7 linked regions of the Cricetulus griseus genome follow. The protein of the gene in region 4 interacts with the protein of the main gene of each other region in a pairwise test. Links are inferred from orthologs where the notes say so. Each region holds a gene or a part of one and is shown on either strand. Other genes may lie near its edges.

What was found.
Region 1: the proteins of Rbpms (region 4) and Rbfox2 interact in binary tests that used the Homo sapiens proteins (3 or more experiments, as listed by UniProt). The link is inferred for Cricetulus griseus from reciprocal best matches to the Homo sapiens genes RBPMS and RBFOX2.
Region 2: the proteins of Rbpms (region 4) and CUNH11orf87 interact in binary tests that used the Homo sapiens proteins (3 or more experiments, as listed by UniProt). The two-hybrid records come from large-scale screens. The link is inferred for Cricetulus griseus from reciprocal best matches to the Homo sapiens genes RBPMS and C11orf87.
Region 3: the proteins of Rbpms (region 4) and Foxp3 interact in binary tests that used the Homo sapiens proteins (3 or more experiments, as listed by UniProt). The link is inferred for Cricetulus griseus from reciprocal best matches to the Homo sapiens genes RBPMS and FOXP3.
Region 5: the proteins of Rbpms (region 4) and Prkab2 interact in binary tests that used the Homo sapiens proteins (3 or more experiments, as listed by UniProt). The link is inferred for Cricetulus griseus from reciprocal best matches to the Homo sapiens genes RBPMS and PRKAB2.
Region 6: the proteins of Rbpms (region 4) and Foxs1 interact in a two-hybrid assay, tested with the Homo sapiens proteins (2 studies listed by BioGRID and IntAct). The link is inferred for Cricetulus griseus from reciprocal best matches to the Homo sapiens genes RBPMS and FOXS1.
Region 7: the proteins of Rbpms (region 4) and Rbfox1 interact in binary tests that used the Homo sapiens proteins (3 or more experiments, as listed by UniProt). The link is inferred for Cricetulus griseus from reciprocal best matches to the Homo sapiens genes RBPMS and RBFOX1.

The regions. Positions count from the first base shown.
Region 1 is NC_048595.1:374,338,927-374,343,184, reverse strand, and holds part of Rbfox2 (RNA binding protein fox-1 homolog 2), read left to right. Parts: intron 1-1,716; coding exon 1,717-1,805; intron 1,806-2,177; coding exon 2,178-2,250; intron 2,251-3,871; coding exon 3,872-3,916; coding exon of another isoform or gene 3,917-3,926; 3' UTR 3,927-4,258. UniProt on the Homo sapiens protein: RNA-binding protein that regulates alternative splicing events by binding to 5'-UGCAUGU-3' elements. Prevents binding of U2AF2 to the 3'-splice site.
Region 2 is NC_048597.1:164,386,303-164,390,554, reverse strand, and holds CUNH11orf87 (uncharacterized protein C11orf87 homolog), read left to right. Parts: upstream 1-1,813; coding exon 1,814-2,395; 3' UTR 2,396-3,447; downstream 3,448-4,252.
Region 3 is NC_048604.1:114,053,357-114,058,414, forward strand, and holds the start of Foxp3 (forkhead box protein P3), read left to right. Parts: upstream 1-1,682; coding exon 1,683-1,889; exon of another isoform or gene 1,890-2,408; coding exon 2,409-2,513; exon of another isoform or gene 2,514-2,610; coding exon 2,611-2,749; exon of another isoform or gene 2,750-3,133; coding exon 3,134-3,221; exon of another isoform or gene 3,222-3,298; coding exon 3,299-3,403; exon of another isoform or gene 3,404-3,485; intron 3,486-4,190; coding exon 4,191-4,278; intron 4,279-4,409; coding exon 4,410-4,490; exon of another isoform or gene 4,491-5,058. UniProt on the Homo sapiens protein: Transcriptional regulator which is crucial for the development and inhibitory function of regulatory T-cells (Treg).
Region 4 is NW_023276807.1:51,013,577-51,017,030, forward strand, and holds the end of Rbpms (RNA-binding protein with multiple splicing), read left to right. Parts: intron 1-2,153; coding exon 2,154-2,285; 3' UTR 2,286-2,404; downstream 2,405-3,454.
Region 5 is NW_023276806.1:58,819,291-58,824,123, reverse strand, and holds the start of Prkab2 (5'-AMP-activated protein kinase subunit beta-2), read left to right. Parts: upstream 1-1,673; 5' UTR 1,674-1,826; intron 1,827-2,021; exon of another isoform or gene 2,022-2,044; 5' UTR 2,045-2,069; coding exon 2,070-2,222; intron 2,223-4,833. UniProt on the Homo sapiens protein: Non-catalytic subunit of AMP-activated protein kinase (AMPK), an energy sensor protein kinase that plays a key role in regulating cellular energy metabolism.
Region 6 is NC_048599.1:27,073,658-27,077,764, forward strand, and holds Foxs1 (forkhead box protein S1), read left to right. Parts: upstream 1-1,762; 5' UTR 1,763-2,003; coding exon 2,004-2,993; 3' UTR 2,994-3,233; downstream 3,234-4,107. UniProt on the Homo sapiens protein: Transcriptional repressor that suppresses transcription from the FASLG, FOXO3 and FOXO4 promoters. May have a role in the organization of the testicular vasculature.
Region 7 is NC_048600.1:39,361,687-39,365,944, forward strand, and holds part of Rbfox1 (RNA binding protein fox-1 homolog 1), read right to left. Parts: intron 2,749-4,258; coding exon 2,656-2,748; intron 915-2,655; coding exon 854-914; intron 1-853. UniProt on the Homo sapiens protein: RNA-binding protein that regulates alternative splicing events by binding to 5'-UGCAUGU-3' elements. Regulates alternative splicing of tissue-specific exons and of differentially spliced exons during erythropoiesis.

The sequences.
Region 1 (4,258 bases), on a different chromosome or scaffold from region 4:
AGTCAAGAAAGCCAGCCAGAGCTGCTAGGTAGGGTGCCAGAGAAAAGCAAGGGCCCTGTTAGAAAACACAGTAACCTGGCCATGGGGGCACACACCTTTAATCATGATCAGCAGTCGGGAGTCAGAAGCAGGCAGGCAGATCTCTGAGTTGGAGTCCAACCTGGTCTACAGCATGCAAGCGCACACACTCAATGGGGGAGAGGGGTAAATGTGAGATGTCTCTTGTAAAGTTAGCAAAAAAAATGAACATTTGAAGGAAGAAAAAAATGGGATACTTCAGCTGCCATGAGATATCTACAAACACATCTTATTATTCACAACTAAGCCATTTTTGATAGCCAAAGGATGGCAATAAAAGATGTGTATATGGCAGGGAGGTGGTGACCCTTAATCCCAGCACTCAGAAGGCTGAGGCAGGTGGATCTCTGTGAGTTCAAGGCATGGTATACAGAGGGAGTTCCAGGACAGCCAGGGCTACACAGAGAAACCCTATCTTAAAACACCCCCACCCCACTGCAAGAAAACAAAAAATAATGAAATGATATCTGAATTAGATAAAGTAGGTGAGTTGTAGAAGGATAAGTAAAATGAGGCCTTAACAATTGTTTCACTTGTCTGAAGAGCCATGGTTACATGAGTGTCCTTGAGTCCTAGAAGGGGAAAAAAAAAAAAAAAAAGCAGTTAAATGATTAAGAGGCATGTCTGACTTCATCAGAGCTAGCCAAACGCTCCTAAGCCACTTGTCATCTGATTTCCCTGGGATATAGGCTAGAGTTAGCAGTTTTTTTATAGAGAACTAGGTTCAGACATGGGCTTTTAAAGCCACAATCTCTTCAGGTGGTGGGCTGTATTAGTTCACAGGCAATGCTCTCATGCTTGGTTTGCTTGGTCCCTTGCTTCTCTGGTTTGATCTCCACAGACCTGCTGGGCCAGGTGGATCCAAGCTCTGGGTCAGACCTCCCTGTGACCTGCTGCTTTCTCTAGTAACCAGGCAGTCCCAGGACAGAGAATCTGTGCTTGACACCTGGGTGTGATATAGTTTAGCTATTTTATTATTATTCTTTTTATTTTTTTACATTCCAGTCCCAGTTCTCTTTCGAAATGTTAACATCTCACTCTAAATCTCTCAGTGGAGTCTCTGTTCCCTTCTCTGATATAACAGATGGGTTACTGCTTGTTATAATTATTAACGGATTCTGTGGGTTTCCCCTTCATGGTCTTGACTCCTTTGTTCATATATTATCACTCCTCCCTCACATCGATTGTATCCAGGAGCTTGGCCCATTGGTTAGTTGTGGATTTCTGCCTCAGAAGCTTGAATCCTCTTCCAGAAATATAGTTCAACTCTTTTTAAAGCTCTGTTATATACATATATGCATGTAGACTCAGAGTTCTACCATGAATGTTTTCCCTATCAAGAGTTCCAGAAAATACTGAAGATTCAAAATCATATCTGAATTTCTTAAATTACTAAGCAGTATTCGTGTACTTTATTTTTCTTACTGTCACAAATTGGAAAGCAAATTCCGACATTGGCAGAAGCTTGATTTGCTACTAAAGAAGGAGCATGCAGACTGGTGCAGTTTGAAACATCCCTTCCCATGTGTGTCTGTGTTTGTGTCTGTCCTTGTGTCTACACGTGTGGGTCTGTGTGGGGTGGGAGGTGTCTCTCTCGGGGAGAGGTAGCTGTAAAGTCAGTTCTCTTCTCTCCTGTAGGGTGGATATGCAGCCTACAGATATGCACAGCCTGCTACTGCAACCGCAGCCACAGCTGCTGCAGCCGCTGCAGCCGCTTACAGCGACGGGTATGTACAGAGCCAGAGCAGCAGGCTCTCGATGTCCTGAGCACCATGCCATCTGCAGCACCATTCCCTTCCCTCTTTCTCCATTTCCAGAACCACCCTTAGTCCCTGGGCCTCCTGCCATGGCAGCACCCAGGCCTAGCCTCTTCCTGTACTCTCATGTTCTATCTCTTCACAGCCAGCCTTCTTCCTCATCTGACCCCTTCTTTGCCATTTTAAAGACGTACATCAAGATTTCCCAGTTACTGCATTTGGGGAACAGACATAGGAAGGCTTTTTCCATCTGCCATTTTCCCTGCTAAGAGTTCAAGTCTATAGCACAGACCTCAGTCTCAGTGTCCCCTTTCTTCATGTGACCGTGCTTCTTTTTTCCAGCTACGGCAGGGTGTACACAGCTGACCCCTACCATGCCCTCGCCCCTGCCGCCAGCTATGGAGTTGGCGCTGTGGTAAGTTTATATATCTTTCTTTTTCTCTTTTTTTCTGTCCTGGCACTCGCTCTGGAGACCAGGCTGACCTCAAACTCACAGAGAGCCACCTGCCTCTGCCTCCCAAGTGCTGGGATTAAAGGCGTGAGCCACCACCACCACCACCACCACCACCACCCAGCTGTATACCTTTTTTCTTAAGCCATGTTACTCCTAACTTCTACACAAAAACTTTGAAAGATAAGGAGAAGTGATGCATTGTCATCTCATCTGTCGCCAAAGTGTAGAAGCTATTTGAGACTCTGGGAGTTTCTGTTACTTTCTTTACCTGTATGTCTGGAAAGGCAGTAACAAGAAAGGGATTGAAGGTGACAGTAATGATGTCATTTAGGAAACAATGAAGGGAGAGGGTTCTGGTGCCGGGTACATACCAGTAGCATAGTGTTCTTGAAAGTAGCAAAGGCTTGGGAATGTTAAGGTGCCCAGTTTTCACTGTAGTTAGTATATTGCATTTTTAATTACCAATGCCTAACGATGTCCCTCCTGTCCCATTGTCTTCTGGTATATAGGTAGTACTGGGACTTATAGTATGGTAAACACTGCAGAGGTAGATTCTAGAGCAGTTCTAGCAAAGTACATAGAGCAAGCTTGTCTAAAATAATCCGTGGGGCTAACCTTCTCGCTGCAGCCCTCTTGGATTTGGCTTAGATGCCTTTACTGCTGTTTGGGATTCACAGATATAAGGGCAGGCGACTCCATAATGACACCTGTTTCATTTCATGCTAAACAATAAATCCCCTACACTGAAAGAAAGACCTAGGGTAAGATTCCTGGGAAGGTTCACATGAAAAGAAGTAAGACACCAGAGAAAGTCAGTTGATAAAGGTGAAGAAATGGATTTATAATCAATAAATTCATATTTCATTCATAAAAAAAAAAGGTGAGGAAATGACCAGGGTGGCATGCACATCCATACCTCACATTCAAACACTCAACCACAGTATCAGGGAGAGGTTATCTTCCCATGTAGACTCATTCTCCCATTGGTCTCCAAACAGTACAGTATTTTAGCAGTTTGCAGAGTGCTTAACCTTGTGTTAGGCCTTTTGTGTCATCGCAGAGCGTGTGTCTGGTTATACATGAACACTAACTCTTTCTGACAAAGGACTAGTTGAGTTTGGGCATCCCTGGGCATTTCTTGAATCAATGACCCATGGATATTGAGACAACTATGTTTCATAGATTGTAGATAAGATCTGTCTCACTGGTTGAAAGGCTGACTCAGGTGTAAATGTAGCATCATCTCAAACACAGAATGTGACCACCTTTGCCAAGGAGAAACTGGAAGTGGCATACTCATAAAAGGCCAAGTGTGAGAAGGGGGTTCAGTGGTCCAGCTGCTATCAAGACACTAGTAGCATCACAAAAACAAACTTGTAGGACTTGTCTTTGTAGGACCAGTTGGACACTATGCCAGATCTGCCTTCACTGCTTAGTCTTGTAACCAAGGAGTAAGCCATTGTGCTGCCCCCACCAACTGGGCTGCCCGAGCAGGTGACAGTCCTGTCTCAGGACTTGTTACTTCATTTCTAATGCTTCTCTCATCACCTTTCAATTATTTTTATGTCTTTAATTACTGCAGGCGAGTTTGTACCGAGGTGGCTACAGCCGATTTGCCCCCTACTGAAGTGACGTGAGACCCTGCAAATGGGACAGCCCCCAGTTCATGAGGCCTGGCTATTGCAATATTTACTAGTAGAGGACTCTATAGCAAGATGAAGAGGAAAACAAACAAACAAAAAAGAGAGAATACTTTTTTATACCTCACTATGTTCTTTGAATATGTATTTTTCCTTTAAATTTCTGCCTTTAATTCTTTTGTTCCAAAGATTGTGCTTTTTTGTTTGTTTTGTTTTGTTTTTTGTTTTGGATTGGGGGGGTTGTTTTGGTGAGATTGTTTCTTGTTTTGGGGGGAGTTTTTAGGTTTTTTTGTTTTGGATTTTTGTTTGTTTTTGATTTTTTAATTTTT
Region 2 (4,252 bases), on a different chromosome or scaffold from region 4:
AAACTGTGTACCTGGTGAAGGATGAGGCGCAGAGCAATGGAAGAACTAAAGCCAGCATCTTCCTAGGCAAAGGAGTGCTAGTGCTGAAGGTGGGTTGCTGGCAGGGTGGAGGTGGAGGTGGGGGTGGGGTTGGGGTGGGTTTGCTCCTCCCAGCCCCAAAGCCGGGGAACAACAGGGAACTGGGAATGGTGTTGGCGAGGCTGTTATGCCAGGACAAGGTGTTGGGTATGAGGGTGGGTGGGGGCCTGAGGGGTGGCTTGGAGCCCTGGCGGTGGCTGCCTGACGTCACCGGCCTCTCTGGCAATAGGCTAAGAGCTGAGCTCCTTGTAGCAGCAGCGAAGGCAGCAGCGGCGGCGGCAGCGGCGGCGGCGGCAGCAGCAGCAGCAGCGCGGTTGTCTCTGGTCCCTGCGCTCCGCGCCTTCTGCAGCTGTCACTGCAGCCAAGGCGGGGGCTCCTCTGCAGCCGGCTGGCCTTTCCAGGTAAGAGACAATTGTCCGGCTGAAGGCTTCCATGGCCGGGGGGTCCAGCGGCAGCATGTGGGCGGGTAAGACCACTCCCGAGGCCTGCGCAAGCACCTCTGGTCAGAGGTTTGGCCCCCGCCCCTGCCCCGGCAGAGGCTAGCGCTTTGCCTTGCTGCTCCGCAGTGCAACAGTTTGCACCTGCCTTTTGGGAGAGGCAAGGGAGCTGTACTGCCTGCTGCGGGTCCTCCTGACTTGGTCCTCTGCCACAGCCTCTGGGCCCTGGGGTCAGGGCCCTGGGAAGGCTGGAAACAAGGTCGGTTCCCCCAAACTTTGCAGGCGGGAACCCTTCCCCTTCCAGTTCCTGCTCTGGGAGAAAGAAAAAGGATACAGGATACCGTCAAGTGGGAGGCTCAGGGAGATAAGGAGGAGGGGGGCGTTTGCGAGGATGTGCCTCCACTGAGCAGGGTGCTTCAGCTGTTTTTGATGGGGAGGAAGGAGGAGGAAGGTAGCAGGGAAGAAGGCTGGAGAAAGGTCGAGCATGATCCTGTGTGCCAGATCCAGCGTGTCAGCTGTGGCCAGGGACAGAGGCAGTGGGATGTATCTCCTGGGACTGGGACCTTGGAGATCTGAAGGTTCAGGCTGGAAGTGTCTGAATAGGGAGGGATGGAGAAGGAAGGCTGCATATAGGGAGCCTGCTTGGAGCGAATGCTGGCTGGATCCTGAGAAGAGGTCCACAGAGCTCGGAGAGGAGGGCAGTTGGCTTTCTGGGAAGTAGATAGAGAAAGCCAGCCTTGGCGGCCGGCCGCTGTTGGTAACAATTAGAAAGTTGTGCAGGGGGCAGGGCAGCTGCCTTCTCTGCTGAGTAACCAGTGTCTCCGCGGTGCGGTGCGGTGTGGATGCCAGACCCTATCTGAGCCAGCGGAGCAGCTGGCAGCTGCTCTCCTGCGCTGCCAGGAGCGGTAGGATTGGGTTGGTGGGTTGTGGAGATGATAGCGCTCATTTGAGGACCACTTAGCAGTGGTAGCATATCCCTCTCGTTCGCCGCACTTGCCTTGGCAGTGGCCGGGACCCTAACTAATCCTGTTCTCTTTGCAGCACGGTGCCCCGGGAAAGGAATCTGGGCTCTTGGAGACAAGATCAAGGAGGAACGGAGACAGTCTCCCTGGGGCCACTAGCTCTGGTCAGCTTGCTTGCAGGCATTTGCTCCCTCAGTCTTTGGCTGGAGCACTCACTCCCTCCAGCGCCAGGGAGCAGTTGGGGTGGCGTGGGCTCTTGTCCTCGTCTTGGCCGGTGGGAACTGTGTGTCCAACAGAGGAAGCCCAGTGGGCCTGGCCCCTCTCAGCCCAGCGCCGATGAGTGCCAGGGCGCCTAAAGAGCTGAGGCTGGCGCTGCCGCCTTGTCTCCTCAACCGGACCTTTGCTTCCCACAATGCCAGTGGAGGCAGCAACGCAGGTGTCCGAAGCTCGGGCGCAGGTGGTGGCACCTGCATCACGCAGGTGGGACAGCAGCTCTTCCAGTCTTTCTCGTCCACGCTGGTGCTGATTGTCCTGGTCACTCTCATCTTCTGCCTCATCGTGCTGTCCCTCTCCACTTTCCACATCCACAAGCGTAGGATGAAGAAGCGGAAGATGCAGAGGGCTCAGGAGGAGTACGAGAGAGATCATTGCAGCGGCAGCCACGGTGGTGGTGGGCTGCCCCGGGCAGGTGTTCAAGCCCCAACCCATGGAAAAGAAACCCGGCTGGAGAGACAGCCCCGGGACTCTGCCTTCAGCACCCCCTCCAATGCCACCTCTTCATCCCCTGGTCTCCTGTGCCAGGGTCCCTGTGCACCTCCGCCTCCACCGCCAGCCCCCAGTCCACATGGAGCACATGCAGCTTCCTCCTGCTTGGACACAGCTGGCGAGGGCCTTTTGCAAACGGTGGTACTGTCCTGATTGTGTAGCCCTCTCCCGACCCCTTCCTCATTTCCAGCATCTTTGCCATCCTTGCTTTTGTTCCTCCTTTCTTCCTTTTCCGTTCTCCTCTGGCCCCTCTTTCCTCTGCCCTCTTTCCTTACCTGCCCACCCTTTTACTGTTTCTCCTCCGCCGAGGCACTGTGCGGTATTTGTAAATATTGGGCGAGGAAAGTCTCAGAGGAAGAAATAACGCCGATAATACTTTATTGATATTTATAGTAATTATTATACTATTAATAACACAGTCCAAGCGCATGACAAATCACATAATTTCTCATTGTCAATGATGGCTGCATCTTCCCTCTCCACCCCGTGCCCCCCTCTCAGTAAGGAGGAGAAACCGCACAAGCTACCAAATATATAAAAGACAATGACACAGGAGCAAAGGGAGGGGAGGGGGCCGGTGATGTTGTATATAGCTGTCAAGTGAAGGTTTAGTAGCCTTTCTGCCCCTCCCCCACGGGCTTTCACTTTTCCTTTAGCTTCTCTCCCCTCCCCTTTCCTCACCTTCAGCCGGGCTCAGGCATTAGTAATTATAAATGAAACATCTACATTAAGCACCAGAGACCACAGAGAGTGTCCCAGAAAAACGTTTAGGACAGGTAACCCCTCTCTAGTCGGTCATCTCTTCACTTTTTGGTTCCCCTGGGCAGAGTTTTCGAGTTTACTTTTAGAAATATCTCTCGCTGGCCGAGCTCAAAACAAAACAAAACCCATATTATCTGCTTTTGCCTCCCACCCCCATCCGTGGGACCCCACTTGCACACTTGACTGGTGGCCTGGCCTTTTTTGTTTTTTCTTGAGCCTCAGAGACATCGGGAGCTGTCCAGCCATGTCTGGTGCTGAAAATGTCTCGCCTTCATGGTTCCTTCCTCTGGTTGTGCAGGCCAAAGAAGGAGCTGTTTTGGAAAGCGATTGTCTTGGTTTTGATTGGTTTCTTTCTTCTTTTTCTACAATTGGATTAGCGTGTACTGTTGTTTTGCTTATTATTAAACATTTAATAAGTTACCTTTATCTAAAAAAAAAAAACAGTATTGGGTAATGTGCAGTTCTGAAAATGCAGTATCTAACCAACCAGTATGTTTCTGTTTTATTTTTAGAACAAGTGCACCTTTGTTATATACTTACTATATTGGTACCAAATACAGAAGAAAACTATAGTTCTGTGACATGTCCTCCAAACTGTATACTCTTGTTCTGACTTTCCAGCTGTTGATATAATGGTTGCCACTGGCTGAGGAAGTCAGTGGTGCAGGCCTGGCTTCTGTTTCTGGAAGTGTTCTTTTGTATTTTACTCTGTAGTAGACCATTATAAAAAGATGACACCCACGTTTCCCTTTTTTCTTTTGTGAATAACAGAAACAGCCACAACAGAAAACAAATAATGGATGTGCAAGAATGCCATCTATTAAAAACATGGTTAATATTTCAACAGTGCCTGTAGTTCTCTGCATGCAGTTACCACCTGGAGGCAGTGGTGTGTGTGCTTGCTTGTACTGTATGTGTTTGGGGGAAAGACTGGTGGAGATGTTGGGCAATTTGGATGACAGGACATGCAAATTTCCAAGTTAAATCAGTAAATGCTTACAGGATAAAAAGTGTTTACAGCTTGTTTAGTTACAACTCTGTGCCTGCATCTGATGTACAGCAATGGAGGATCTTTCTTTTTTCTAAGTCTGGCCTAATTAGCCTCTCTGAACACATAGAAAATATTGAGGAAAAAAGAAACTGAGAGAGAAAGTTGATCTTTTGTCTTCTCTTCAAATGTCAGATAAACCCACCTATGTTAGACTCTGATGCTGGTTATAAAGCAGTGGGACCCCCACATATATCCCT
Region 3 (5,058 bases), on a different chromosome or scaffold from region 4:
GTTTTCTTTGCTCTCTTTGCCTTGGAGAACCATCACCTCATGGCTGCCTGCCTTCATTCAGTCTTTCACTTCCTCTTCTCATCACTGTTCTATGAAGCCCGTGTTCTCAGCCTCTACAGACCCAGACTCCTGGTTCTCATGCTAATGGTTTAACCCATGAGACACTGCAGTTTTAAACTCAGGGCCACAGTTCTGATGATCCCCATGACATGATAACAAAGAAGCAATTGGCTTCCAGAACACTTCTGTGCTCCCCTGGCTGTTTGCAGAAGCCATATGCCCAAGGCATGTAGTACAGTAGACTAGAGAATGACATACACACATGTACACATCTACAAAGCAGGGAGTTGTGAACTGTAGACATGGATGGATACATACTTCCTAGACCAAGATGTGGAGACATCAGCCTGGAATGGTGACTTGTAATCCCAGCACTCAGAAAGCAAACAGTTCAAGGACAACCTGGCTATATAGTGAGTTCCAGGCTAGTCCAGGCTACATGAGATCCTATCTAAAAAGAAAAGGTTACAGGCTATGAACAAACTGTAGAAATATGAACCTGGGGTACCCCTTTAACTAAAGATCCCTCACTTCAAGATCTGGTTGCCTCTCTGACTAGAACTATAAGATCCAAAACAAAAACAAAAGCCATGCCCCTCAGGATCTATAAGGTAATGGGGCTCAGCAGAGGGGCTTGGGTCACCATGGAGGGCTTTAAGGAGGAACACAGAAGACAGGTCTGGCTAGGGGAAGACGAGATGCTGCAGGAATTCCAAGCTTGGGGAGCAAAGATTGGGGCAAGTAGGGATGAGGCTAATTTGGGGAGCTCCCAAGGGCCCTGGATCAAGAAATCCTGTCCCTCCTTTTTCTGGCACCTGCCATGTTAACTCCATGCAGGACAAAAGCCCTGAGCTGTGCAGTCCTGAGTTCAGTTACCTACCTGCATGTCTACCCTCCATCTAATTGCTTACCTTTGCATGCAGCCACATCGGACTGCCATCTGCAAACTCTACTCCTCCATTCTCCATCTCTGGCAATGATTACTTTGTCATAGCTGCTTATACAAAACCCCAGATGTCATCTTGACCCTTTCTCCCATCTCCTACATCTAAGCCTCCAGCAACTTCTCCTGACTCTGTCTTCAAAAAAAGACTTACTATCTAGCCATTCCTTACCAGCTGCTCTGCCATTATCCGGGTTGGTAGCAGCAGCATCACTGACCTAAACTATTGCAGTCCACTTCTCACTAGTACTACTAAGTTCCCTGGAACCTTCCCTCTCATGGCATCCAGCTGACTCTTTTGAGCTCATGCCCAAGTCACTGGAATAAAATAATGAAAAGAGAGTCCAAGATAAGCCCCAGTAGAATCAGCAATGACTGTGGCCCATACAGAATGCAGGGGGTACCAGAAGGCTGAGGCTCCACAAACCAACTCCCCATTGCCCCACATTCACAACAGGACTGTGAGGTGTATGCAGGCAAATCAAGTTCTGGACATGTACATGTGGGGGATAAACACAATTTGTGTTTTATACATATATCAGTGTATATGTGTAAGAGAGAGGAGGGCTCGGGTACACTATCTGTATGGTTCAAGTGGATGAATGTCTTACACCACCCCTGGAATGCATGTGATTCCATTCCACTGTTGTTCCTGCAGCCTGCCTCTGACAAGAACCCAATGCCCAACCCCAGGCCAGCCAAGCCCGTGGCCCCTTCCTTGGCCCTTGGTCCATCCCCAGGAGTCTTACCAAGCTGGAAGACTGCACCCAAGGGCTCAGAACTCCTAGGGACCAGGGGTCCTGGGGGAACCTTCCAAGGCCGGGACCTGCGAGGTGGGGCCCACACTTCTTCCTCCTTAAACCCCCTGCCACCATCACAGCTGCAGGTGAGGCCCGGGGCCCAGAATGGGGCAAGCAGGGTGGGGTACCTGGGCCTATAGGTGCCGACCTTTACTGTGGCATGTGGCAGGAGGGGGGCTGGCTGGGGCACAGGAAGTGGTTTATGGGTCCCAGGCAAGTCTATGACTTATGCAGATGTTGCAGGGCCAAGAAAATCCCCACTCTCCAGGCTTCAGAGATTCGAGGCTTCCCCCACCCTCCCAATCCTTGTCCCAAAAGGAGACCTTATTATGATCCCATGGGCATAGCCATGTGTCCCCATCTCACTGTGTCAAGAGGAGATGGCTGGAGCCCAGGAAGGTAAGGTGACAGTGTTGGGGCCAACTCTACCACTTTTAACTGTTTGATATTGGTGAATCATGTCTCTATGAGCCTCAGATTCCACGTGTGTGAACTGGATATGTTAACAGTCCCTACTATGTGGAACTTTAGTGAAAAGACGATGATGAGACACAGGACTGTGAAGCTGAGGCTAGCATCTCATGGCATCTGCCTTCTCCTTCCAGCTGCCTACAGTACCCCTAGTCATGGTGGCACCCTCTGGGGCCCGACTAGGCCCCTCGCCCCACTTGCAGGCACTTCTCCAGGATAGACCACACTTCATGCATCAGGTATGGAATCTGAACAGGCTGGGAAGAGGGAACAAACAGGATAACTGTAAGGCAGAGCACAAGCCAGCCTGAGCCATGGTCCATATATGTTCCTCAGCTCTCCACTGTGGATGCCCATGCCCAGACCCCTTTGCTACAAGTGCGCCCACTGGACAACCCAGCTATGATCAGCCTCCCACCACCTTCTGCTGCCGCTGGGGTCTTCTCCCTCAAGGCCCGGCCTGGCCTGCCACCTGGTAAACACATCAGCTTTCTCCCCATGGCTTCACAGAACCGCCAAGTCCTCAGATTTTTGAATATACACAATTGTAAACTTTTCTGAGTTACAGCCCTATGGAGGTCTAGAGGGGTCTTAAGAGTCATGAAAACACCAACCTCCAAAATCTGTCAGGCTTAGAACCTTGAAGACATAGAATGTCAAAAATCACAAATTGCTGCCATTACTCAAAATGTCATTACTTACCAAGGGCTGTCTTTAGGCTTCTCTGTCAGAAGCCTGCTCTGTGGGAACAGCAGAGTCCTATCAGTCAGTCTCCAAGGTCCAGGGAAGGTAGAGGCCTTCTGGGACAAGCTGCAGAGCCTCGCCTGCAGCCCCAGAAGTACCCTGTCTCTACTCACAGGGATCAATGTGGCCAGTCTGGAGTGGGTATCCAGGGAGCCAGCTCTACTCTGCACCTTCCCACGCTCGGGTACACCCAGGAAAGAAAAGTAAGTTGGCAGTGTTGGGAAGAGCCCCTTCTCTCCGCCCACCCCTCTGCTGACACCCTGGGTTCTCCCACCCCCAGCAACCTTTTGGCTGCACCACAAGGATCCTACCCACTGCTGGCCAACGGAGTCTGCAAGTGGCCTGGTTGTGAGAAGGTCTTCGAGGAGCCAGAAGAGTTTCTCAAGTGAGTAGCCTGACCCTACCCATGGGATTCTGGTGTCTGAGCAGAGATCGGGACTGCATATCTCAACTCAGAATCTTCTTGACTGATGATAAGAAAGTAGTAAAGGTTGAGACTTCATCCCTCCCTGGTTCTGTGATCTTGGGCAAGTTTCTGGGCTTCTCTAAGCCCAGGTTGCCTCACTTGTATGATGAGACATAATAATAATAAAAGTATATGTTGACAGTTATCTCCATGTGATACACAAAGGAACTAAGGCCAAACAGAATTAAGTGTCAATCAAGTTCACACAGATCCTGTATGATGGATGTTGCATATGAACTCAGGCAGACAGGCTCCAGAACCCACACTCCTAACTGCTTTGTCCTTCTTCCCATCATGCAATATACATTATGGAGCCTTGAATTTCTGCTCCTCTAGATGACTGTAGCTGTTTCCTCTCAGCTTTATATCTGCCCCCCTCCCCTTCTGTATTTTGCTAACCATACCTAACTCTTGGCAATGATGTATGACCTGCATGGCCAGGCCTTTGCATAGACTGTGCCTACCATCTGAAGTGCCATTCTCCCTCTCACCACCTTTCTAATAGCCCAGGCCTAGAAGCCAGCAGTTGCTGAAGAGTGTGTGTTTAAGGGTATCCAGGTGTGAGAGGGGGTGGGTGTTGTTGAGTGAGGGAAACTGAGACTCTGAGAAGAAATCTCCCAAAGGGTCTGGGCTGTCCCTAATGGCACACCAAGCCAAGAGGCCTGACCCACCATGATGAGCTACATGGAATTTTCTCCTTGCTCAGGCACTGCCAAGCAGATCACCTCCTGGATGAGAAGGGCAAGGCACAGTGCCTCCTCCAGAGAGAAGTAGTGCAGTCTCTGGAGCAGCAGGTAATGCCTGCAGGGTGTGGCTGAGGGGAAAGAAGGATGTGACGGAGGACCCTCCAAGGGAAGGCCTTAGTGCAGCCAAAGGTGTGGCTGAAGACCAGGTGGAGGCCTCACTTTGGTGTATAACCCCACAGCTGGAGCTGGAAAAGGAAAAGCTGGGTGCTATGCAAGCCCACCTGGCCGGAAAGATGGCACTGTCAAAGGCTCCAGCTATGGTGAGTACCCCAAGTCCCGAGGCAGACGACTTCAACTGCTGGGGACAAGAGAGAAACCCTTAAGGACCAAGTGATCTCTTCTCACCTCCTTAGATTGCTTACAACCTTCTGACCTTGCGACCCCAAAACATCATGATCCTGCCTTTTCAAAGCAATAGTAAATAACCACCCTCAGAAGACAGAGAGTTACTCCAATGTGCCAGTGTCAGAACCCAGAGGGGGCACTGCAAAAGAAAATGGAGGGACCTATATCCAAATTTTAAGATAATAACAAGATAATATCCTCAGAACATTTAATACTGTAGGGTCCCGTGGGACCATATATTTCACACACCCAGTCCTAGGCACTTTGCTGATATGAACGTAAGTCAAGTCTCATACTACAACAGAGGTAGCTACCGCTGTCATCCTAATGAACAAATGAAGACCACTGAGGTCTGGAAGACTTAGTTGACTCTCCCAAATTCGCAGTTGGATGCTAGGGGATCCCAATTCATCCCCTGCTCACCCCCAGCCCCAGCATCTATGGCTTCCTAGCATGCTCACTCCTGTACTGTAATCAAGATGC
Region 4 (3,454 bases):
TTGTGCTCTCTTGTCCAAAGTGAGATGAGGGGCCGAAAGGAGGCTTCCAAGAGGAAGCCTGATCTTATGGGAGTTGCAGGGAAGACAAGGTTGCTTATTGCCATGTGCACAAAGGTCCATGTCAAGGGTAGATCTCCGCAGCATATTGCTCAGCCTGGGTTTTAGAAACAAACTCCTTGCTTCCCCTCCAAATACAGGGAGAGGCATACCAGCTCTTCCTCTCCCTGGAAGCCATGGTTCTTTTGAGAGCTGAGGATAATAATGAGACCCGAGCTTCACCCTTGGCATAACCACTCATGTAGTCAGCCCATGACAATTATTGCTGGCCATTGACAAGTAAAATATAGGTTCTATCTGTCTTACTACATATGCCACTCAACCTGGCCTCTTAAAAATTGCTGGCTGTGGACTGGTAGGATGGCCCATTGGGCAAAGGCACTTGCCGCCAAGCCTGACAGCTTGAGTTCAATCCCCAGGACCCACAGGTAGAAGAGAGAGCTGCCTTCTGCCAGTTGTCCCCTGCCCTCCACACCAGTACTCGTGCAGACACCCAAACTAAACAAATACTATAAATCTTTGTAAATTGTCAGACTGGTCAGGTGTGGGGGGGTGTTTATTTTGCATGGTCTTTGTTTCCAAGGCTGGATGATACCCCTTCATGTCCTGATTAAGAGGCCTGGGAGCAGCCCCAGAGAGTGTTCCCAATCCACTGTGTCAAGAGTACTGCAGGCCAACCTTTCTTTATCTGAGACTCCAGTGCTTTTTGCCTGCATTGGCAACTGGTTTCCTTAGCTGTTTGTTCTCCCTGGGGCATCATCTGCTTCAGGCAGACAGAGTTCAAAGGGAACCCCATTGTCTTGTGCCCGGGAACAGATATTGTCTGTCCTCTTCAGGGAGGGGGTACAAAGCAGTGTGGGGAGTTAGGAAAAGTGCAGAGGTGGCAGTGACTTGCCTTGGTTCAAGAAACAAACTGAAGTCAAGGATCAGGTGTGCCTTTTGCTTTTCCACCCTCTGCCCGGTGTCTCTACATGGGTCAGTGTTCAGTAACCCTGGTGACTGCCAGGTAGCAGGCAGGAGCAGCTAGGTGGTGGCTGTCTTTAGCTGAGTCGTTAGTGGTTTTGTGCTGTGGATAACTTTGTTGACAACAAAGGTCCATAAAGTCCCCATTTTGTGTGCCCCACACTTCGTGTGCAGGTATGCCCTTCTTGCTTAGGGTTCAGGAACAGAGCAACCAACTGTTGGGGTTATTAGCAGTACACACCATGAAACAGTGCAAGGTTGCACATCGGGCAACAGAGCCATTCACTGCTGCCTGGAGAATCAAGGCTTGCTAATGCCCAGAAAGACCTGGGAAGACTGGCTTTGGTCATGATGTGACATGACATCTGGAATTATTTGCAGGATATGGAGGGTAAAGGCTCTCTAACAAGGGTCTTGGGAGATTTAGAAAGCCTACGCCCCTGTGAGGAGGGATGGAGACCCAGTGCAAGATTAGATGCATCACGGCGTGTGCCTCGTTGGCATACATCACCCACACGACCCCCTTCTCTTGAGACTTCCCCAGCCTGCAGTCCTCCTAACTCAGCCATCAGCCCTACCTTTGGTGGAACTCCGATCTGCTGGTGGTGAGATCCATGTCGAGTCTCACTTCTGTAGAGTCATTTAAATGAACATTCTTAATAAATGTATTTGTCCATGTTGGAGTGAACTGGTAGCTTTGCAGACAACTGATCCAGCCCGTTACACAGACAGGGAACAGGGCCTGAGGAGATGGAGAGTTGTCCCAAGTCACAGTGGTTCTAGAGTTCTAGAGCAGGTCTGTCACCTGCTTCCCTTGCTAAAACAGCAAGGCGCCAGCTCACCTAATTCTTTTACTCTTGATGGAATTTTGGAGAGGCCTTGCTCCAGCGATTTCTTGGAACTTTCTTTTCTAAGTAAATGGGAAATCTGTCAGGAGAGCCTTGGAGGCCAAGATGGCTTCCGAGAATACTGACTAGAGGGGAGCAGAGTGGGGGCCCCTTCCTAGGTGCCTGGGGTTTTGTTTTGGAAACTGAGTGTCTTGGAGATTCTTCTGATTTTGCTTTTTTTTATTTTTTATTTTTTGCAATGTTGTGCTTTGTTTTGAGACATGGATTTTTTTTTTTTTCTTCTAGTGTTTCTCTCCAGAGGCAAAGCCCAACACACCTGTCTTTTGTCCTCTTCTCCAGCAAATTAGATTTGTCTCTGGGAATGTGTTTGTCACATATCAGCCTACTGCAGACCAGCAGAGGGAGCTCCCATGTTGAAATTGTTAGCAACCCCCACCCCCCTTTTGCAAAAAACAAAAAAAATCAAAAAAACAAAAAACTATTTCTTGATGATATTTGAGAGATTTCAATAAAAATTTCAATCAGAGGGAAAATGATCTCAAGTAGACTACAGAGTTTGTTTTCATGGTGCTACAATTTTGGAGCAAAAGTATTTAATCTCTGGCTGAGTTTGTGAGTACCTGGCCCGTAGAAGCTAAGTTGCATGTTTCACGGGAGCAGATTCTGAAAGAGCACCCTAGAAGACTGCGCCCAGCTCCAGGGCTTCATCGATGCCGCTGCCATCTTCTCGAGCTCCGAAACCACCCTGAGCTTCATGTTAGAAGATCCTCGTGCCAACAGGTCATCGGCTACCAGAAGTTCTTGCATCAGCACCAACAAGGCTGCCAGATCTAGCTAGGGGACACATACTGCTGTGTGCCTGCTCTGTTCCCAAGGAAGGGAAGACCCCCAAAATGGGACCTCCGTTATTGAGTTGGATCCCATTTCTAGTTCGGTTCTATCTAGTCATGAGCTACAATTCTCTCTCTGGTTTAATGGTACTTATGTACCATCAAATCCCATTGCTTTTGATCTAATTAATGGTGGCATACACCTGTAATCCCTTCTCTTGGGAGGCAGAGTCCTAGCCAGCCTGGGCTTTAGTGAGATTCTCTCAACTCCCACCCTCTCCAAATTGGGTAAAGTAGCAAGACAGCAGTGTGTAGTGCCTTCATATTTTTACGGAGGGAACTAGGACCCTGTGTAGCCAATGTCCAACTTCTAACATTAGCATTTTTTGCATAATCGTCTGGTTTATCCTCAAGGTCACTGATGTTTGCAGTGTACTAAGTACATTGTGTGAGTCACTGGATAGAAGAGTCATGTTTCATCTTCCGATTTCTGAAAGGTAAAGGCAGCATACAGACCCTCACATCTTTGTCCTTTGAATCTGGCTTCATCTTGCTGTGGCAGAGAATAAACCCTGCTGGTCTCACCACAGGGCAGAAGTGGAGTCCCAATCCTCTCCAGAGGCAGCCCTAGAGTTCTCAGGGAAACAGGCCTGAAAAGGTCCTGTGTGCCCCTTCTTCAGGGGGCTCTGTACACCGTGCCTTCCAATGCATTGCTACTGCCAGTTACCGCAGCAAAGCCTCTCCTGCATACAGGGA
Region 5 (4,833 bases), on a different chromosome or scaffold from region 4:
GCTTTTCTTTTTTTTTTTTTTTTTCGGTTTTTGAGACAGGGTTTCTCTGTGGCTTTGGAGGCTGTCCTGGAACTAGCTCTTGTAGATCTGGCTGGTCTCAAACTCACAGAGATCCGCCTGCCTCTGCCTCCCGAGTGCTGGGATTAAAGGTGTGTGCCACCAATGCCAGGCTGAGCTCTAGCTATTCTATGAGCGTCCTATACACAAGGATAAAGACATGAAGAAAAACTTAACAGAAGTTCTACATGGTATCTCCCCCCCCGCCCCGTATTGGGGAGGCTAAGAAGTGCATCTCTGTGGAAATGGGCATCTGATGGAGATGGATTAATGCCTCCTGCGGCGGGGATTCCCTTTCCTGGCATCTGATGGAGATGGAGATGGATTAATGCTTTTGAAAGAGGAAAGAAATGAGAGTTAGGAAGGCAGATCTCCAACCATCTCTGCCATCTCACTTTTCAGTTGCATGACTTAAACATTTTTTTTCAGTTTTATCTATAAATGGGTGTTTTGCCTGCATGTTTGCATGTGCATCAAAAGATGTCAGATCAGCCGGAACAGATGGTTATGAGCCATCATGTCAGGGCTGGGGACCAAACTTGGGTCTTCGGAAAGAACGAGTGCTCTTAACCACTCAACCATCTCTCCAGGCCCTTCTTTGATTTTCTTACTCTGATGACTTTATGGTCTACCTAGCCTCACCAACCTACACCCTTGATCTTGTCCAAGATACTGCCAGTGCTGATAACTCCAAGGCCTCTGAAATCTCAGTGGCAGGCATCCTACTCTCCAAAACCACTTACTTAATCATCTTCTCCGCTCACTCCGATACCCTCATGCCCATCAATCTTAGACTCCATTGGGCCCGCCATCAGCCTGCTTTGCCTTCACTTTCTAGTCTACTGGTTTCCAGTCGCTGGTCCAACGGTATATTCCCAGCCCACCATGCGCTCCCAACTCCTCTGTTGCCTCCTTGGCCAAACTTCATCTTGAGCTGAATGCATGCTCCCACACAGCTAATCACAGTAAGAGAAAACACCACTATGGTGAACTGGGCACCACATATAAGTAAGCCTTCTGCAGTACTTGCCAGGCACACTTCATGCGTCTAGTCAATTCTCTCTTCCACCCTTCATTTCATTGCTTCCTGGGACAATGAAAACGAGGTCGCTCGGTAGAGCTGTAAGCGGCATAATGAAAACCATTCGAATGTGGAACCGCTCCCTACCGCTGTCAAGCAGTTTGATGGGATCTTGTTAAAGTGCAGATTCTAATTCTGTACCCAGAGCAGGAGACCTCGGATTTGGCTTCTCTGACGAGTCCGTGTCCCATGGCTGGACGGATTACTTAGGAAGACATGACTCCGAAAGCGTATAGACTTCCATCCAGATACTAGCGCCCGCCACGCGAGAGCCTGGCCCCCAACCCGGACCCTGACCCCCCTCGCCCCGCCCGCCCCACCCGCGCCCCGCCCACCGCCGCCCCGCCCCCCCGCCGCCGCCCGCCGCGCCCGCCCCGCCCCAAACTGGAGGCAGGCACGCACGCATTCACCACAGAGACGGCGGCCGGCGACGGTGGCTAGAGCGGCAGGCGACTAGGACTGGGGAGGGGGCGGGGCTGGCACGCAGGGGGCGGGACAAAGAGGTTTTGTGGGCGGGGCCATGGACAGAGGCGGGTCCGCGCCGCGGGCCTTGTAGCCATTTTAGGAGGAAACCACCCGTGCCGCTGGCTTGGGGCGCGGCTTCAATTTCAATAACTTTATTGGTCTCTCTGTGCGCCCAACAGCCGGCGTGCGCGTGGCCCCGCGATCCCGGAGCGCATCGCCCGAGGTGAGCGGCGCGAGGGTGTGCGGCGCCGGGGCCGCGGGGTAGAGGTGACTCCCGGGCGGGTTCCCCAGCCGGAGGCGTCCCCGAAGTGGACCAGGGAGGGGACCCCGGGCGCGGCCTCCTGCGGCGGGGATTCCCTTTCCCGGGCGCAGGGGCGGGGCCGGGACGCCCCTGACGCGGCCGCGGGGGTGTTCCCAGCCCGGTGTCGTTCCCCGCGGCAGGTTGCCCCCGACTCGAGCTGCAGCCATGGGAAACACCACCAGCGAGCGGGTGTCCGGGGAGCGCCACGGTGCCAAGGCTGCGCGAGCCGAGGGCGGCGGCCATGGCCCGGGCAAGGAGCACAAGATCATGGTGGGGAGCACCGACGACCCCAGCGTCTTCAACCTGCCCGACTCCAAGGTGAGTCCACGGGGCTGCCGGCTGCTTCTCCCTTCTTGGTTCTTCCTCCTCACTCCCAAGGGTTACGGGTTCATTTTATTTTATGACTTTAGAGGGCTTTCCCGCGGACAGGGATGTTGAGTACGAATGCCTCCTAGGTGCTGCCTCAAATGAGGATAGAGGCGTGGAGTTGTTTTCCTGCCCTTCTGACTGATCTGCGGGCCATACTTTCAGGACCGGTACCAGAGACACGTCCCCTGCCCGCCCCATCCTTGGTTCTGCACCACATCTTGCCTTCTTGTGGTGGAGCTTGCAGGATGTATAGGTGGTGAGCGAGCTTGGAAACTTAAGAGGTTGCCTTGTTTGAGCTGCTGCTTCGGGCTCCGTTTCTCACATTGGCCTCGAGATATTTAAATGTATTTCTTTTCCCTGAAAATGCCTTTGTGTAGATATCACCTTTGCTCTCAGGGGCCCTGCGTCCCCTTTTTGATCCTCGTCCCCGTTTGCGTGACTCTCAGCAGTTATCACTTGGTTACTTGAATACTTTCGCCTAGTCTTGGTGATCAGAACAGTGCATCATTTGGATAATGGCTTCAGGTTTGTTTGGTTGGTTTTTTTTATAAACGTGGCGATTGTGACTGTGCTTTTTGCACACCTGGCTGTGCCTTGTGGGAGAGCAAGTTACTTCCCTTCACTCCACTATAGTGCTTCGAAATGTTCAAAATGTTGCCTGAGGCTCAAAACCACCCACAACTGCCCGAAGACTTTGCCACCAATGCCAGAGACTTCCAGCCAAAGGCCCATTTTTGTTCACCCAAAAGAAGAGGCAGATGGAGCCGACAGCAGTATGATTGCTACCCTAATGTTCCTAATCACTTTTAGAAATGTCAGCATTAAAAACATTTAATTTCTCAAGTAGGCTGTCAGGAGTGAAAAAGAAAAACCAGAGGGTTGGAGATGATTGGGATATACTTGGCGCCTGTCACTTTATCCCTTCCCACTGCACTGAGGCTTAGGATAGTGAATAGAGTTTTATTTACCTCTTTGACAGCATGTGGAATTTGGATTATATGGCTTGTTTTCTTGAGTCCTGATTGAGGACTCCGTTAGGGAAGTAAGAGATGTTGAGCTGTGCGTTTCTTGGGGTTCCCTCTTTGTCCCCACTTTAGGACTTCTTCCTCGTCGTTGGGGCTCTGTGCTCAGCCTGGATTTTGTTCTCCAAAGCTTACCCAGGGTGACAGGCCGTGTATTTTTGCTCATTCCTACATGGATGACTCAGGATTTGGGTACATTCAAACTGTGACTGCAGTAATTGGTGTCCTGAATAGGAGCCAGCTTGCTCTGTGTGAATTCAGGCCTGTTTTGGAACATTCTTTCCCTCACATCTTGCCGTTTGTGAAATGAGAAAAGTAGTTCCAACAACCCCCCCCCCAGTCTCATGAAGATTAAAAACTTTATAGTTCACATGTCCTCCCCCCACTGATTTTTTTTCCTTAATCATCTTCAGACTGTAATTTGAATTGCCGATTTGCTGCTGTTGCTGGTGGTTCAACTCCAGTAAACAGTCTTGCTGCGTTCCCTGCTACCACAGAAATGTCATGTCATAAGTGGAAGGGCTTTGCTCCAAAGCCAGGTGTATTAATAGTGTAGAGCTTTCAAATCCTGAACTGAAAATCCTCCGTCATAAAAGTAACTGATAGAGACAGTGGGGTGGGTGGGGGGCATCTTTGCTCTAAAGGTCAGGCTTTTTAGTAGACTCACTAGGGTTCTCCATCCCTTTTGAACATTAGGATCCCTAAGATTGTTTTTAAAACCTTATGGGAAATCTGACACATTTATAAACTAGAACAGTACAATGAACTGTGTGTATGTCACCCGGTTGAAATGGTGCTGAAAGGTCACGAATGAGTGGCTTTCTGTGCTCCAAGCCATTGTCCCACCCACTACTCTGAAACAGATGCCAACAAATAGTATTTCTAACATTTTAGGGTATACCTAAAAAGGTGATTGTTCTTTAAAGCTGATACAGTAGTGGCTCACTCCTGTAATTGCAGCTGTTCAGAGACTGAGGCAGGAGGGTCACTGCCAATCCGGAGTGAGAATTTGACCCCCCTAGGAAAAAACAAAACACGTTTTCCCTGTTTATTGTAATATAAGTACAGTATAATTATCTGATAGCTTTAAAAAAAATATGTTCTCAGGTTCTGTTTGGGAATTAGAATCTGAGGGTTGTTCTTAGGCATTGGTAAACATGCCTAATGCAGCCATCAACCCCCAGTGCATTGCTCTGAGACTGTGGAGCCAAAGCTTTGTCTTAGCCCAGTCTCCTGAATAATGTAAAAGTCCCTTCATGTTCTTTCTCCTTTTACTTTGGTTTGTACTTGTACAGTAGTTTTCAGAACTATTGGAAGACAGAATGAAAGGTAAATTTTTTCATTTTAGATAAAGCAGGGAAAAGCCCAAATCAGCTAGTCTTTTCTTTCTCTAACCTTTACTGTGTTGTATGTAATGTTTGACTTGATGCCATACAGTCTTATTCCAGTCCCTGAAGCCAATGAAAGTAGGGATTATCAAACCTTTTCTGTCAAAGAACAAATAATAAATAATTTAGACTCTGTGGGTCACACAGTGT
Region 6 (4,107 bases), on a different chromosome or scaffold from region 4:
CGTGACTACAACTCATTCCTTAGAGCCAGCCGTACCCTGACACAAAGCTCTTCTGGCTTGTTTAAAGCACTGCTTCCCAGTGATTAGACCCTAAGAATTGTTTAGAGGAGGGTCAACTATCAGCAAAAGAGCCCTACTTCCCAGGTGCTCTGGGTTTCAGGCCCTTTGTCCCACCTATCATTTACATTTCAGGGGTACTGGGTGTGTTCCCCAAACAGAACACTTGCCCTGAATCCTGGGCTTTGAACGCCAGTAGCTAAAATGCCAGTACCTGTGGGACTCTGTCTTTGGATAAATGAACACAACTCTAAAGCAGAATCCAAGACTAGAGGCCAGCTTCTCCCCATGACCTGATGATCTTTACAGATAGGCACAGGGGAACTACTGAGGACAGAGGGGACCCTTCAACAAGCAGCATGTCCTCCTCCTCCTCCTCCTGCCTTGTGAGCGAGGAGGTGGCTTATAGGATTTTGATTATGGATGCCAACATAATAAATCTCTTTAAATAACACATCAGCGAGCCTGCTTCTTTTTCTACTTTTTTAGTACTAGGACTCAGACTCTGGGCCTTGTGCATTCAAGGTACATGTTCTGCCCCAGAACTACCCCCAGCCAATAAGTCACTTCTGTGAGGAGAAAATGATCTGATTTAACAGAGGGCCCAAGTACACTGCATTTTTCCCAGTCGTCCCAGGAATGTTTATTGAGTTCCTGCTGTGCTCCAGTGTACAGTGCTGTATATGGGGGACAGAGCAGAACAGCGTCGTCTTTAGGTGTTTGGAGCTCACAGCCTGTTTCCAGCTGAGGCCCCATGGCTGTCCCCACTCCTGACCTTCACAAATGTGATGGTGTTAAGGAGTTACAAAAGACCTGATTTAAAACCAGGGTTATCATTCACTAAATGTGCAACCTCGGGAGGTTAGTTAGCTAACCTCCCTGGGCCTCCGGTCCCTCGTCTGTGAAGATCTCTGCAGCAGGCTTGGTGTGAGGTGTGAGTGCGGACAGGGTGCATGAGCTAGCCAGGCCCACAAGAGGTGGCCACAGACTGGGAGGGTGGGGGAGGCAGAGAAAACATTGAAAGGGCTGGCTTTGTCCTGGTCCTTGCTGTACCCAGCTCCAGGATGAGGTTGGGGGAGTCTGATTTCACAGGACGTCCAACCCCTCCTCTGTACTAGGCTCTCCCAGGGCCCCAGCTTCTAAGGGATCCTGTTGCATCCTCACCATGGCCTTGGACAGTGAGGCAGTTCCGTTTCAGAGATGGGAGGTTGAGAGCTCGGCCCAGAAGGCTATCCTCCCGACACCAGTCACTAGAGGGCGCCAGGGCCCAGGGGAACGGTGTTGAGCAACCTCCTTACTGTCCTTGCAGTTCTCCGGAGTCCACAGACCAATAACCAGGGCCTGGAATAGTGGCCCAAGGGCTCCACAGTGTGGGAAGGAGGTGGCAGAGAAGAGGAAAAGCCAGAACTAGGGTACTGGAGAAGCCCCTGCAGCTTTTCCCACTCCTCAGGGACACTGCTTAGATTTTACCCTTCTGGTCACCTGCTCCGCCTCTGGTCATACCTGTGTCTCTGCAGTCCTTCTGTCTGTCTCCAGGTTCCTTCATTCTTTCCCTCTACTGTGACTGGCACTCTCTCTGTATGCTTATTATATCTCTCTGAATGTCTGGTCTCTCTCTCTCTCTCTCTCTCTCTCTCTCTCTCTCTCTCTCTCTCTCTCTCTCTCTCTCTCTCTCTCTCTCTCTCTCTCTCTCTGTCCCTCTCAATGTCTCTGCCCTCCCACCTCTTCACCCTGCAGCGGCTCACTGCTGGCCTCTCTTGCCCGCCTCCTTAGACTTGAAAAGGGCGGTGAGAGAGGAGGGAAGGGCAGTGTGGTGGGCCCACCTCTTTTTGCCTTTCTAGGCTGGGAGGCTGGACCAGTGGGTCTTTTAACGGCCTGGGCAGCCTGTGCAGATCGCCAGCCCTGAATGCCGTGCCTGGCTCTGCAGTCCCAGCAACACAGTCAGCATGCAGCAGCAACCGTCGCCAAGATCCTTGGCTCCTTCTGCAGAGCCCACCAAGCCCCCTTACAGCTACATAGCCCTGATCGCCATGGCTATCCAGAGTTCACCGGGGCAGCGGGCCACCCTCAGTGGCATCTACGGCTACATCATGGGTCGCTTCGCCTTTTACCGGCACAACCGGCCGGGCTGGCAAAACAGCATCCGCCATAACCTGTCTCTCAATGAGTGCTTCGTCAAGGTGCCCCGCGACGACCGCAAGCCAGGCAAGGGCAGCTACTGGACCCTGGATCCGGACTGCCACGACATGTTCCAGCATGGCAGCTTCCTCCGTCGCCGCAGACGCTTCACCAAGCGCACAGGTGCCCAGGGCACCAAGGGCCCTGTCAAGGCAGACCACAGACTCCTCAGAGCTGCCAGCCCAGACCCAGGAGCCCCCAACACCACTACTGGCAGGCTGTGCCCATTCCCACCAGAGGCGCCAAACCCCAAGGGTCTAAACTTTGGGGATCTGATGGGGTCGTTGCCAGCCAGCATATGTCCGGCAACTAGTGACGCCAGGCCCCAGCTGGCCACTGAATCCAAAGAGATGTGCTCGCCCAAGTCTGCATGTCCAAGGGAGCTCACTGAAGCCACCTCGCCCTCCCCGTGCCCAGCATTCAGCTTTTCGGCTGCCTTCCCTGAAGCTGAGAGTCTTGGCAAGGCCCCCACACCTGGAGTGGCCCCTGAGGGCGCCGGGAGCAGCTACCAGTGCCGGATGCAAGCGTTAAATTTCTGTATGGGAACTGACTCGGGCCTTGAACATCTCTTGGCCTCTGCAGTACCCGCCCCTGCACCCTCGACTCCTTCCGCCTCTCACCGGGCCCCATTGCCCTTGCCAGCTGACTCCAAGGAACCCTGGGTGACTGGGAACTTCCCTGTCCAGGGAGGTTCCGGGTACCCCCTGGCGTTACCTCCTTGCCTTTACCGGACACCAGGAATGTTCTTCTTCGAGTGATTGACTGCAGCAGTCGCTTCGCAGGGCCTCTGTGAACTACTCTCTGAAGACCCTGGCTGTGGGACCTAGGGCACTCTTCAAGGACCCAGCCCTGGCAGGCCAAGGACTGTGAGGACCAGAAGGCCGAAGTGAGCCATCAGCCAGGTCCCGGGGCCTCCTGACAAACTTGGGATGAGGGGAGGTGGGGCCCTCGGATTTTCTCTGTGGTTCTCAGGGCTAATAAAGCCAGTGTAATGGTGAGGGTCTGTCTTCTGAATAGCTGGGGCTAAGGACCAGGATTCTGGGTTCTATGTGGGGCACTCTGATATTGGGGGTACAGCAGGGGTTGGGAACTCATCTGAAAAGGTCCTGCTTGAGACTTTCTCCTGTTGGGGACTTTCTTGGGGAGTTTCCCAGGAAGGGAAAGTAGGGCATGAGGGCAGGCAGGGGGGAGGTGCAGCCAAGATCCACAGAGTATGGGAAAGTTGGGCTAGCCTAAGAGGCTGCTTTCTGTCCTTGAATTGTAGCTGGACACTCTTTATGAAGCCTCATCATGCCTACTGCCACACCCTACCAGGCTTGTTTCTGTCCTCTTGCCTGGGTTCTAGGGACTATCAGGCCCATTTACAACAGTAGGAGCCCAAGCTCACTCCAGCTCCAGGGAAAGTTCAAAGGACTGGCAGAGAGCAAAGGGTACCCAGGTCTGTGTGGCTCTGACTCAAACTGAGGGGGGAGAGCTGACCCCAGGCAGCATAGGATGGCCCCAGAAGGAGGAGCTGCATCTTTCTGAACACCAGGGCAGAGAAGACACCCTTCACCCTTGTGCAGACAGGGAATCCAAGTCTTAAAGGCAGCACCCATCTTTATTTGAACTCTCCACAGTAACGGAACCTCTCCTGGGTCCCTGAGTCCCTGAGGTCTCCTGGTGACTTTTTGCCAAAATCATATTACATTTATTTGTGAGTGTGAGAGCCCCCTCCCCTTCCCCCACACACACAGAGGCAACTTGTGGGAGTTGATTCTCTCCTTCCACCAAGTGGATCCTAGGGATGAAACTCAGGGGCCGTTACCACTTAACGCCTTCTCACCACCCTCCTGTGACCCTTTATAAACACATGCAGAGGCAACTGAGTTC
Region 7 (4,258 bases), on a different chromosome or scaffold from region 4:
CACTCAGGAATATGTCCATGGGAGAAAATAACTTACTCAGACAGCTCCTTTCCCATGGAGCTCAGCCATCACAATACTTTAACAACCTAGAAGTCTGAAAGCCAGAACCAAATTTTCTAACTACACTTCCAGGAATGGCAAATTATTAAGTATATATGGCTTTGAAAAATAAACAAACAAAACTATTATTCTCCCCTAAATTTGCTAGAATTTCAAAAAATTGAATGATCAAGAATAGTTATGTAAATATCTGCTATGCAAGGTATCTGCTATGTGACCCTGGTGAGGGTCAACCACTGCTCTAGAGAAATGGGATGGCTGAACTAGAAAACTATATCTGCTTTGCTGTGAAAAATCATCTCTAGGCTGTTGTTCACTGTAGCCGGTCAGCAATGAAATGGTAGCCAGGTCAGGTCAATGTGGTATATGACACCCATGAACTCTAATCATCTGTAGTTACTTGCCCAAGTCCTGCACAGTTAAAAAAAAATCTAGCATATGAGGGCAGGAGGATCCTCAGGCCCTACTGCTAGCTGAGGAGTTGTTGGCAGTCCATGGCTTCTGGGCCTGGGAAGGTCACTTTTCTTTACGAATTTGACACCAGTGCATCACCCCTAGTTGAAATCAGTGGGCTAACATGAATAAGTAAGACATGAAGTTGGATGGGAGATATGATGTGGATTCTTTAGAAGGATTGGAGGGGGGAGTTGGGAGTACATGTGGTAAGATAAAATGTATCCATGTATAATACTTTTCAAAGAATAAAATGAAAAAGAAACAGATTCCCTGGTTAAAGAACACTGTGGACTTGTAGGCAAAGAAGGTATCTTGTGGTAGGCAGGTATCTACTTACCATTGGTGTATGGGTTGACAGTCTTTTTATTAGTCATTACACGTGCTGTTGCGTTATTAACCTACACACATAGAAAACTCAAGTGAGTTTGGATGCCAAGGCCAGCCCATGATTCAATTAGTTGCATGCATTATGACTGTGATTACTTATTGAAATCAAAACCAAGAAACAAAAACTTAAACAAAAACTGAAATGCATTTTAATTTACAAATGGCAATAGGTGCATAACCCAAAAATCATACATTTTTATAATTACATTTACTTCATAACAGATTTAACTTACAAATCATTTCAATAAAGCAATGTCATCTCATTTAAAAGTTTAATAAAGAGACAGTAAAAGCAAATTAAAAGATAATGCATAATTGAAGATTTAAAAGCATGCGTGTGCTCCATGGTAACACAGAAACAAGAGATAGGTTTTTAAACAGAAAATAAAGTTAATATGAAAGGGGCATGCAGTGGAGAAGGGAGAGGAGACAAAGTACAGGGAACATAAATGTCAAAGAAAGGGACAGACAAGTTTAAGCCGTGTGCAACACTTTGGGAAGGGAAACCATGGGGAAGCAACATCTAGCATTCAACACTTGGAACAAGAGCCTTTTACATTGCAAGAATTAACGAATCATTCAAGCTTTAAGGTCACAGCTAACAAAAGGATAAAAGAGAGGGTGCATTGTGTAACACAATATGGAGTTAACGATCTGAGTAAGATGTGCACTGGTCATAACTCAGTCCAGTCAGAGCCTCTCAGGCTAGCTTAGAACGTACACTCAGTTACAGGCGTACCAAAGACCCAAAAAAATAGAGCATCAAGAAAACTTAATACAACAAGTCAAAAAAATCCACGTGGTAGAGAGATATGTATAGAGATATATCAGCACTAAATACGTGAAGCGGCAGATGGACTTCATCACTTACCATTCACCACCATCGCCAGCATGGGTTTGTATACAGTTACCATGGTTACTGAGGGTTTGGTGAGGGGCCTAAGCGTTACCGTCGAGGGGGGAAAATAAAAAGGCAAAATATGCGACATCTTACTCCAAAGACTAAAGCATTTTTAACTGGTAATTTTTTTCTTTTCAAGTTTTAACAAATATGACCCTTTGATTGTGTTGAAGAGGAACCCAGTGGTACAAAGGGCAGGTGCTGAATGTCAGAACGAAGGGTCTACATTTCCAATTGACAGGGGCCATGACTTAAGCGGGAAATGCTGATTGCCTATTCAATGTCTAATCATTGAATGCAGAAATTGAAGCTGGCTTTTGTTTTTTTAACAGCAAGATTTAATGACAAGTGCCTCTCACTTTTTCTGTTTTAATATTTTGAAATGTCATTGCCTTGGAAATTTGGTCTAATTTGCAAACCACTGTGGATCCCTCTTCAACCCTAAAGTGGACTAAAAAGGAAACAAAATAAAACAAAACTTGATATATATTTGGTTTTGTTTGGATACTGTGTCCTCTTTGGAACCTATTGCACCCATTGTTCATAAAACATGGAAAATAAAATAAAACAAACAGACAGAACCTTTCATATTAACCTCCCTTTCATCTCACTTTTTTTTGCCATCTAATCTCCAGCAGTAATATAAAGAATAATGTAAAGTAAAATTTAACAGAAAGTAAGGCCAGTTTTCCTTTTTATATCTAAATATATATATATAAATATATATAAACAATGAGAAGGGAGTAGGGTCACACACGAGACACCAATGATGCACCTGGAAGGACAAATGAGCGTGAAGCAGACATTTATAAAAAAAAAAAAGAGGAAAGGAAAATATTTTGGACATGCACCTCGATTTTACGGCCCTCTACCACGGTACCGTGCAATTTCTCCCTCGCCCTGTCCGCATCCGCACTATTTTCGAAAGTTACGAAACCAAATCCCTGCATGCAGGAGGGAGAAGGAGAACAACATGCATATTATTATTTCAGTCAACGACCACTTGGTAAAGTTCTCTCGCTTTCATTGCTATTTCTTGTCCTGGCTTCAGTTCTGTAACATGCAAATTAGAGAAATTATAAGAACACTACGATGTGCAGTCATTAAGCAACAAATGTGAACGAGATTTTTTTCCTGTCACCAGTTAGCTGGAACCCCTAAAGAATTCAAAGATGGATATGGAAACGAAAACCAAACCAACAAACAAACAAAAAAAATACCTTTCTAAACATCACTATGAAAGAAAAGAAATCAAACAAAAAGAAAACGAGATCAAAATAAATGTACAGTGTCTTCACAGAGAATAAATGAAATAATGAGGAAAAAGAAAGGGAACCAGTTTCTTGACATGCAAATTAAAAAATCAAACAAAATAAAACGTGTGCACGGGAATTCAACAGTGAATGCTCAAGTCCTGTCACATTGCCTACGGAGTCATGCTGCGTGGATTTAAGAACAGTTCTTCTTCATGCAATTTTAAGGTTATTCGATTCTGTCAACTGTACAGCATTTGCTTCTCAAAAATAAAAGTAACAAGCCTAAAAAAGGAAAGACCTTTTCTTATAATAAATTTTGAACTTGTGGTTCTAATAAACAAAAGAAAAATCACATGAAATGAATAGAAACAAACTTTTTTGGTTAACAATGTAGATAAGCAAGTACCATTCTACATTTGTACTTTGCCCTCCCCCTTCCCCAAATAATAAAAGGCTTTAGAATTTGACCTTTTATATTATGTTATTAACCAAAAAACAAAGTTCTAGGGCTCTAGGCTGGCATTCACTTGCTATGTCAACAGGTACCAAAGTAAAGACATTTCCTAGATGGGAGAATCTATGTACCATCTGAACCCATCCTCTTTGACTGATAAACATCAAATACAGCCCTTGTTTGCATCACAAGTACAGTTTTTGCTTTTAATATTTCAGCCTCTAACACCAACCCCAGTATTCCATTTTTTAAAAATCCATCTTCATTCTTTACTGACACTGTTTCTATGATGAGTATAGAAAAATCTGACATACTATTCCTAAAATCCTTAAATATATTTCTACATTTTGTTTAGAAATATATACACCAACCTTTGGAATAATTCCAGTATGTTGGGTCCACATTGGTATAAGTAGGAAGCAATTTCATACTCTATCAATTTTCACAGAATAAACCTAACACACAGTCAAGACAGTTACTTGACCCTCATACACGACATTGAGCTTTACAAATAAAATATGCAATAATTACACTTTAGAGTGGTAATAGCCATCTGATATTGGACAATAGTCCTATAATGGAGCCTATGAGAAGCTTATAATTGAGGGATGTTTGGAGAAAGCTGCTGGGTGCACCAACAAGGAGACTCTATAAAACCAGTCTTGTCTATGGAGGGTATGAGCTGTGAATGTGTTAAGGTACTGGGAGATAGATATTTGTCAATGTCACACACAGAAAAAAGAT